Caenorhabditis elegans: one gene and its partner. The protein of the gene in region 1 purifies or fractionates together with the protein of each later gene. This does not show direct contact. Each region holds a gene or a part of one and is shown on either strand. Other genes may lie near its edges. The genes, in order: dnc-4 and dnc-3.

Region 1 (4,010 bases):
CGGATCGAAAATCACGATGAACCCTGCAAAACAGGTTCTCAAGGGTAGAAATACTCGCAAGAAGAGGTCAATGGTCGACTTGTCGCAGATTAACAAGATCTTCGGAAGAGACTATAACCCGCCAGCTCCATCTTCAAAATCGCCACCGACTATTTATGTGAACTTGGGAGTTATATATTCTTCGTCCTCTTCTCACGCTTCTGATGCTTCATCCATCAGTTCCCATACGTCCGTTTCGTCTACTTTTACCGAAAAGCAGCACGAATTTGGAAAACTCGTTCCATCTGGGACTGACGGCAGCCTTGAGTTGTTCGTTAAAGTGGCCGATTGTTTTGATTAAAGAAGGCGAATCTCTTGAACTTGAATAAACTTGCAATCTAGTAAATGTTAATTTTTTTGATTTTTGGGAAGAATACACTAAAACGTCGTTTAAGAATATGTTCACTGAGAACCAATTACATTCTTTTGTGCTGAATATAATAGAAAAATGCCTCTCTGACTAGGTCTTAGGATAAACTTGGAAGTATAACAGAAGTTATACTTTATTTTTTTGTGAAAAGATTAAGTAATCAGCTACCAGAATCAAATAAAATTTTGCCGAAGACCTCTGGAAATCTGTAAATTCCGCTCTGAAAATGTTTCTGAAATTCACGGTGTTCAGTGGAAAACTCACTTTTCACGTGAAGGCTAAGCACACAAAAAATTTACAATGTTGTATCGGAGTTTTGACATGAGTATCAAAGGTTCGACAATTTCAGCTTCTCAAATCTCGATCTTATTTTCAGTATACCTTCAAGATTTTGCAGATTAGGAAGGTCTTTTCGCCAAAGTAGTACAACTACTTGTATCACGCCTACCACGATAGCGTGGTTTGGTACGGTTTCACTGCCAGCCCTTTACTCTACCCAACTATCCAAGAAAAACGAGTGAGAATTTCACTGCCAACATATTTGACGAACTAAATATCTCATAGCGAAAACTACGAAACTTTTTTAAATGACTACTGTAGCGCTGGTGTCGATTTACGGTCCCGATTTTCGAAACGAATTACCGTTCGAAAACACTTGTGGCAGAGATTTTATTTTTTTGTTTTATTCGTACTGTTTTGTCATTTTTCTGTTTTCCATTTATATTTTATCGATTAAAAATTATTTCCGTAAATCGACACCAGTACAGTAGTTACTTATGAAAAGAGTTACTGTAGTTTTCGTTACGAGATATTTTGTTTATTTCGCGTCAAATATATATTTTTATAAATATGTTGCGCAATATGCATTCTTAGAATATCGTGTTCCTGTAATAACATACACTTGCGTCGACGACCTGCCAGCCCAATTTTAATTAGTATGTAAAATGCAATCTTCTCCCAAATGAAATCCCTATCCGGATTATAAAATATTAGTTAATTTGTTTTCTAAAATATTTGTAATTGATGTCAAGTCAAAGGTGTTCCATCCTCAATAACCTTCGTATTTATTTATATGCATTTTCAACATTAATTGAGTTTTCCGTATTCCAGTTGTGCGGGTACTAATTTCTCGTGCGAGAGACCATGTTAAAAGGAGAGAGTGCGATACTGTGGCCGAGAAATCTCAGCGCGGCCGAGGGACGAGATCGTGTTGTGAAATAGTTTTTTTTACAAAAATAATTATTTAAGTTTAACATTAATTTTTGTGATTAAAATAACATTAAACTGCTACTTTTTCAAATTTTCGAATTAAAAATTTAACATTTAGGAGCGGTTGCGGTTCTCAATATGAGCGAGTTGCTGCAGTACAGTCGAATCAAATACGAGTGCACCTGTGGAAAATTTCGAACCCTTCCGGACCTTGTTTTCTGCCGATATTGCTTCAAAATTAAGTAAGTTTTTTTAATGGGTAATTGTCTAAAAATAATTGAAAAAAAAAATTAACCAACTTTTCCAGGTGTGATGACTGTAGCTTGGGAGAAGTTGACAATATTTTCTGTCCTCGATGCCTTGAACCATCAAGCGTCCCTGAAGCAAGACTTAAAAAGCATAAATGCGCAAGTTGCAATGATTGTCCTAAGTGTGGTATGATTTATCCACTATTTTGTAAATATATTTGAATATTTTCAGCTAACGTTCTGAGTGCTCGTACAGAAAATGATAATGTATATTTGGTTTGTCAGTACTGTCGTTGGTCTTCAAGAGAAGCGAATCAAGAAGATCAAGAGAATACTAAATCCTGGCCAACGTATGACTAACTGTAAATATGATCTTATGACATTTTATTTATACAGAAAAGAAAATCCATTGGTTAATCAACTTGGTGAGGTGACGGCATACATGAAGAGACTTGAATTGATTGAAAATGCTCCAAAAGATTTGAAAAAGGGAAAATCGGGCAAAGCCTGGACTGCTTTTCACTTGAAAGACAAGTTTGGATTTCAACAAATGGTAGATAAGCGGAAAAAAGCACTGGCTCCTGAAATGAATCCAGTTGATGCACATGCTCCAACAGAAGCGCCGACTCTTGAAGATGAGATTAAAGAAAGAACGGATGATCTGAGAACTCTCGATCAAATCATAATGCAACCATTGATCAATATCTCTGAGCCACTCCTTCCTGTACAAGTTCCTCTGGCTGGAAGAGTTCAAGTTCGATGTGATGAGTGCGAAAGAACTCTTATCAAACGAGACTTCGGAGTTACTACCTTTAAATTTAAAATTTCGGTGAGTAGCTCATTCAACAATAATGTAAAAAGTTTAAATTTCAGTCATTTGCCCGTCAATTTGTTCCTGACATCAGAATGTCTCGACCGGTTGATGATCTTAAAGTTGGGGAGACATCACACGTATTTCTCTCTATTACCAACTTATCATCATCTGCAATGGATTTGACTATCGCACCTCAATCTGGAAATGGTTTCATTCAATGTTCCAGTGATCCAATCCAGCTTCTTCTTCCATCATCGCGAGCATCGGATACTGCTGCTCCTGGAGTTCATGCTGACCAAAGGTTAGTTTTTTCTTGTTTTTAATTGACTAAAAATGGTATTCCAGTGACGTCATCGTGTTCCGACAGCACAACCGAGTTGGCCTTCGACTGGATGTTATTCCCACCGAGATGGATCTCTCTTCTCCATGTCTCAATCTTTTGATTACATATTGTCAGGATGGATCGTTCCGTCTCTCCTCCGCTAGTGACAAAATATTGAAACCAGAAGAAACGTGTCCTGATCCAATTCTCTCTGCTAATTTAAAAGTAGATCTCAGATAATCATTTCATGTATATTTGTTTCTATCCTTTCTCTACCACAGCGTGTCTTTTCTTAAACATAATTTATAAGCTTTGTTAAATATTTAGAAGACGTTTTTATGCTTTAAATTAAATACTTTAAAATTCAACATTCAAACATCCCAACAACAAATAAACATGATCGAGAAAATCAAAAATCAATATTCTGGCAAGATGGAGTATTTTGATGACCTGGAGCTGGCTCATCAAATGCAGGTGGAAGATGCATCACTCGAATTTGGAAACCTTTTCTGGAACTTGCTTCAAAAATAAGATCGAGAATCGGTGGAGTGTGTGTTCCAACGGACATCAATCGGGGCAAACTCTTCAAATGGAAGTATCCATGAGCAGTGCCAAGATGTTTGAACATTTTCTTCTCATTTTCATCAAACGGCATCAGTTGAATATGTGTATCAGCTGCGGATTCCAGTATACGCCAAGTTGGTTTCGGAACTCTGAAGGAGTTAGCCGTGATGTATACAATCATGTAACTCGAACGAGCTAAAGATCGGAGACAGCACAGGAATCGGCCAAGGAACTTGTAATCTTCACAAATTTCCATATCGATATTCTTCAGAACCACTCGAAGAAGATTCTTTTTCGGTCCACCTGAAGTAAAATTCATTAGTTTATGTATAATAATTCAATAAAAATCTCACCTCTTCCGCCGGATTTTGTGTGAGCTTCATTTTCTTTTACAATTTGGCAGAGCGTCTCGTAAATCCCTTTTAGCGTAAAAACTTTCTCCGC
Region 2 (3,633 bases), on another chromosome or scaffold:
AAGTAAGCTTTCCTCTGGAAAATTTGCTGAAAAATCTGAAAATTCCAGTGAAAACTCTGGTTGTTGGGCTCACGGAGTCGATGAGAATCCGACGCTTTTTTCGTTCAAACTAGATAATTTTGACGATCATCTCGAGGCAAGATTCCGTGGAAAATTCCAGAAGGATCAGGTTTATGACTGGATTTTGACGTAAGATTTTGACGTGGCCGTGGGGGATAAAACTCGGCCACCAAATGAAATTTCTCTTCCAGAACCAAGCAACCCGAGGTAAAACTGCTCAACGAGGAGCTGGTGCCGAGCTACCGTAGTGGAATGGTCCCAGGATTTGATCGCGCGCGGGAAACCGTAACAATTCTGTTTATTGACACGAAAAAGTCGCAGATTTGGAGGAATTACGCGAAATTTGCGCGGGAAAATCACGGGCGGTTCCATTTGACAGCGCTGGTGTCCGAGGAGGTCAAGAAATGGTAAGAATTGGTGGAGAATGTTGTTCAAAATTTGATTTTCCGTAACTTTCCGGGTCCTACCGCGAACGAAAATTTCCAACTACAGTACCCCACATGGTAGCTCACGTGGTGCCAGGCTGTCTCATTGCGGTTTGATCTACAAAAATCCAGGAATTTTTCCCCTAGCAAAGAGTGACGTCAGCACGTTCTTAACCATGGGAAATCAATTGAGAACTCTGCGTCTCTTCTCCCGCATTTTTTGTAGATCTACGTAGATCAAAAAGGAGACACTCTGACACCACGTGGTAGCTGAGAAGTTTTGTTCGTGCCAAGACCCAAAGCATGGATTTGATCGAAAAAATATTATGCCAGTCCGAGTTTTTAGTCGTAATCGCAACTTTTTGGGTCCTGCCGCGAACGTAACTTTCCAACTACAGTACCCCCACACGATAGCCAAATTCGTTCGTGCCAAGACCCAAAACTGGGATTTTGGCTAAAAATGTATTTTTTTTCAGAAGAAATTGAATTTTAACGAGAAAAATTGGTTTTTTTTTCCTGGAAATTTTCGAATTTTCCAAATTTCAAATTTCCCGATCTTTCAGGTCCATCTACCCTGCCTTCATCACGATGAAGCCCTATGACCCCTTCGTAAAAGCCTTCACACTTCATAAGGATCTCAACTGGAATCGAATGGTCGACTACTTGGAGGACGGTGTACACCCGGGCTGTCATCAATTGTCAAGTCCCTCCGATTTCCTCTTCGCCACCGGAACCCAGAAGCCTCTGGTCGTATTTTTCGACCCACTGGACTCTAAAAATTCTGAAGGATTCAAAAAATCTGCTGCCGAGCAGCAAAGCGGCGATCGAATTGCTCATTTTTCGGCTGTAACCGGTTTCGACCTGTTTGGACTGTATGTGATGAGCGTTTTTAATGTGAATTCCCCGAGCTATATTGTCATTCGGCGACAGGTACTTTCACTTTTTAACTTCAAATTAAATTCATTTTTTCCAGGAAAAAGGATGGTGCATCCACACAAAACCCGCTGAAAACGACAATTTCACTGGAATTCTTTCATGGGTTCGGAATTTGGAGCCAGTTCACTGCCAGGAGCTCATTGAAAACTTCAAGTTCCCAATTGCTCGTTTGAATCTGTTGGAGCGGTATGATGACGTGGAAGAGCTAGAGAAAGGGTTCACGGCCGTGGAGTGGACTAGGGACGAGCTATAGGAATTTTAAAAAATTGCTCTGTTGTAATTTGGTAAAAATAAATAATTTAATTTGTTTTAATTTGATGTTTTACAGATTAAAATTGCATTAAAAATTTATATTTAAGAATTAATTAATTTTCCCTGCTCGTCATTTTAAATGCCAGTTCCGCAGGTACACCGCCACGGTAGATTGCGGACAAAAGAATCCTTTTTTTAGCTGTTTTAAGGAAATAACAAGAAATTTCGATGAAAATTTTCAGTTTTAAGCTTTCATACTAAGATTTAATAAAAAACAGACAATTTTAATGTAGAATTGCAGGCGATATCCTAGTTTCCACACTGAAAATCACTTGCGCGTCAAATAAAATGCAAAGTACGCATTGACACCGTCACGTCCCATTGCACACAATTTCTCAATTATTATTTTTCTTTTTCGATCTTTTGATTTTAAATCTGAAAATGGACATGATCGAGCTTGAAAAAAAGATTTCTGAAATTGAAGAAGTTCTAGGAATCGATGATCTCACCACGGTAAGCTTTTTTCGCGCAATTTCCAATAAAAATGCCAATTTTTTTTCCAGAAAACATCAATTCCCTCTCAAATCGAGGCTCTTCAATCCAAATTACGAGATGATTGTAAGGCGAATCTGCTAATGTCGATTCCCATTCAAAAGCTGGAGCATTTGAGCAAAATCGCCACGGAAGTACGTTGGAAAAACTGAATTTTCTGTGAAAAATCGATTTTTCAGACATCCGGCCCATATGGATCGCTGACTGACAAAATAGAGTCTGTAAAATACGCGGAAAAGCTGATCAATGAACGAGCGGAACGGATTAAACAATTTTCAGATGCTCTTGAGGTCTTTTTTTGCGATTTTTCAGAGAAAATTGAAGAAAAATAAAAAATTTCAGCCCTGCCTCGACCAGGAGCTCTTCTCAAAAGTGGCTGCACTTCAACCGGAGCTTGACGCTGAAATCGAAAAATACGAGAAGGCCCTGGAGGACTGGACCAAGTAATTGCAGTTTTTAAAGCCTAAAAATCTGAAATTTCCAAAATTTCAGAACCTACGGAGAATTCCAGACACTTGTCGCCGAGCGGTCAATGATCAACCAAAAAATCACCGAAAAAGTGCTGGATCTGCAGACGAAAATCAACGCAAAAGCTAAATAATTAAATATTTTTTCGCTGGATTGTAATTTATTTTTATTTTCTTTGTTTTCCTGTAAAAATTGAAATTCTACAAGTTTTTTGTTAGACAGAAAGACGAATTGGCAGCAATTATCGACTTTTCGAAGTGGGCAAGATGATGACGTTGTTTCGGGAAATTGGAAAATTTGTTTTTTTCCAATTTTTTTCCTCGCAAGAAAAATAGTTTTCTCTCCATTTGAATTACTAGATTTTTCAAAAAATTTGAACTTTTCTCCGTGGAGCGCGCTTGCATTATTAGATTTTACGAAAATTTGAATATTTCTCAGTGGAGCGCACTTACACCTCACTTTTTTCCAAAATTTTTAGTAATTCTCGATGGAGCGCGCTTGCAGCAAGGTAATTTTCAAAATTTTCCCAAAATCTCTATGTAGCGCAGTTGTAATCCAAAATTACAGCTAATTACCAGTAGAGCGCGCTTGCATCAGTATTTTTAAAATTTTTTTGAAATCAATTATCAGTGGAGCGTACTTGCATCCCAATAAATTTCATATAGTGCCAGGCTGTCCCATTACAGTTTGATCTACAAAAAATTCGGGAATCAGCACGTTCTTAACCATGCGAAATCAGTTGAGAAACCTGCGTCTCTTCTCTCGCATTTTTTGTAGATCTACGTAGATCAAGCCAAAATGAGACACCCTAACATCACGTGAAATTTCAAAATTATAGACAATTCTCTGTGGAGCGCGGCTGCATCGTTATATTTTTCGAAATTTTTACAAAATTCTCTGTGGAGCGTACTTGTAACACTAGCTTAGCCAAAAATTCCAC

The links.
Region 2: the proteins of dnc-4 (region 1) and dnc-3 purify together in Caenorhabditis elegans (affinity purification with mass spectrometry; 2 studies listed by BioGRID, with this or other methods). This does not show direct contact.

The regions. Positions count from the first base shown.
Region 1 is NC_003282.8:8,017,535-8,021,544, reverse strand, and holds dnc-4 (Dynactin subunit 4), read left to right. Parts: upstream 1-1,736; 5' UTR 1,737-1,756; coding exon 1,757-1,860; intron 1,861-1,925; coding exon 1,926-2,053; intron 2,054-2,098; coding exon 2,099-2,216; intron 2,217-2,262; coding exon 2,263-2,695; intron 2,696-2,739; coding exon 2,740-2,981; intron 2,982-3,025; coding exon 3,026-3,242; 3' UTR 3,243-3,370; downstream 3,371-4,010. Other genes in the region: C26B2.2 (Membrane-associated kinase regulator), read left to right, coding at 1-340; elpc-4 (Elongator complex protein 4), read right to left, coding at 3,412-3,869, 3,920-4,010.
Region 2 is NC_003280.10:3,551,722-3,555,354, forward strand, and holds dnc-3 (DyNactin Complex component), read left to right. Parts: upstream 1-2,058; 5' UTR 2,059-2,114; coding exon 2,115-2,186; intron 2,187-2,236; coding exon 2,237-2,359; intron 2,360-2,404; coding exon 2,405-2,515; intron 2,516-2,567; coding exon 2,568-2,668; intron 2,669-2,717; coding exon 2,718-2,826; 3' UTR 2,827-2,896; downstream 2,897-3,633. Other genes in the region: W10G11.19 (DUF4105 domain-containing protein), read left to right, coding at 1-2, 49-189, 252-467, 1,049-1,415, 1,459-1,674.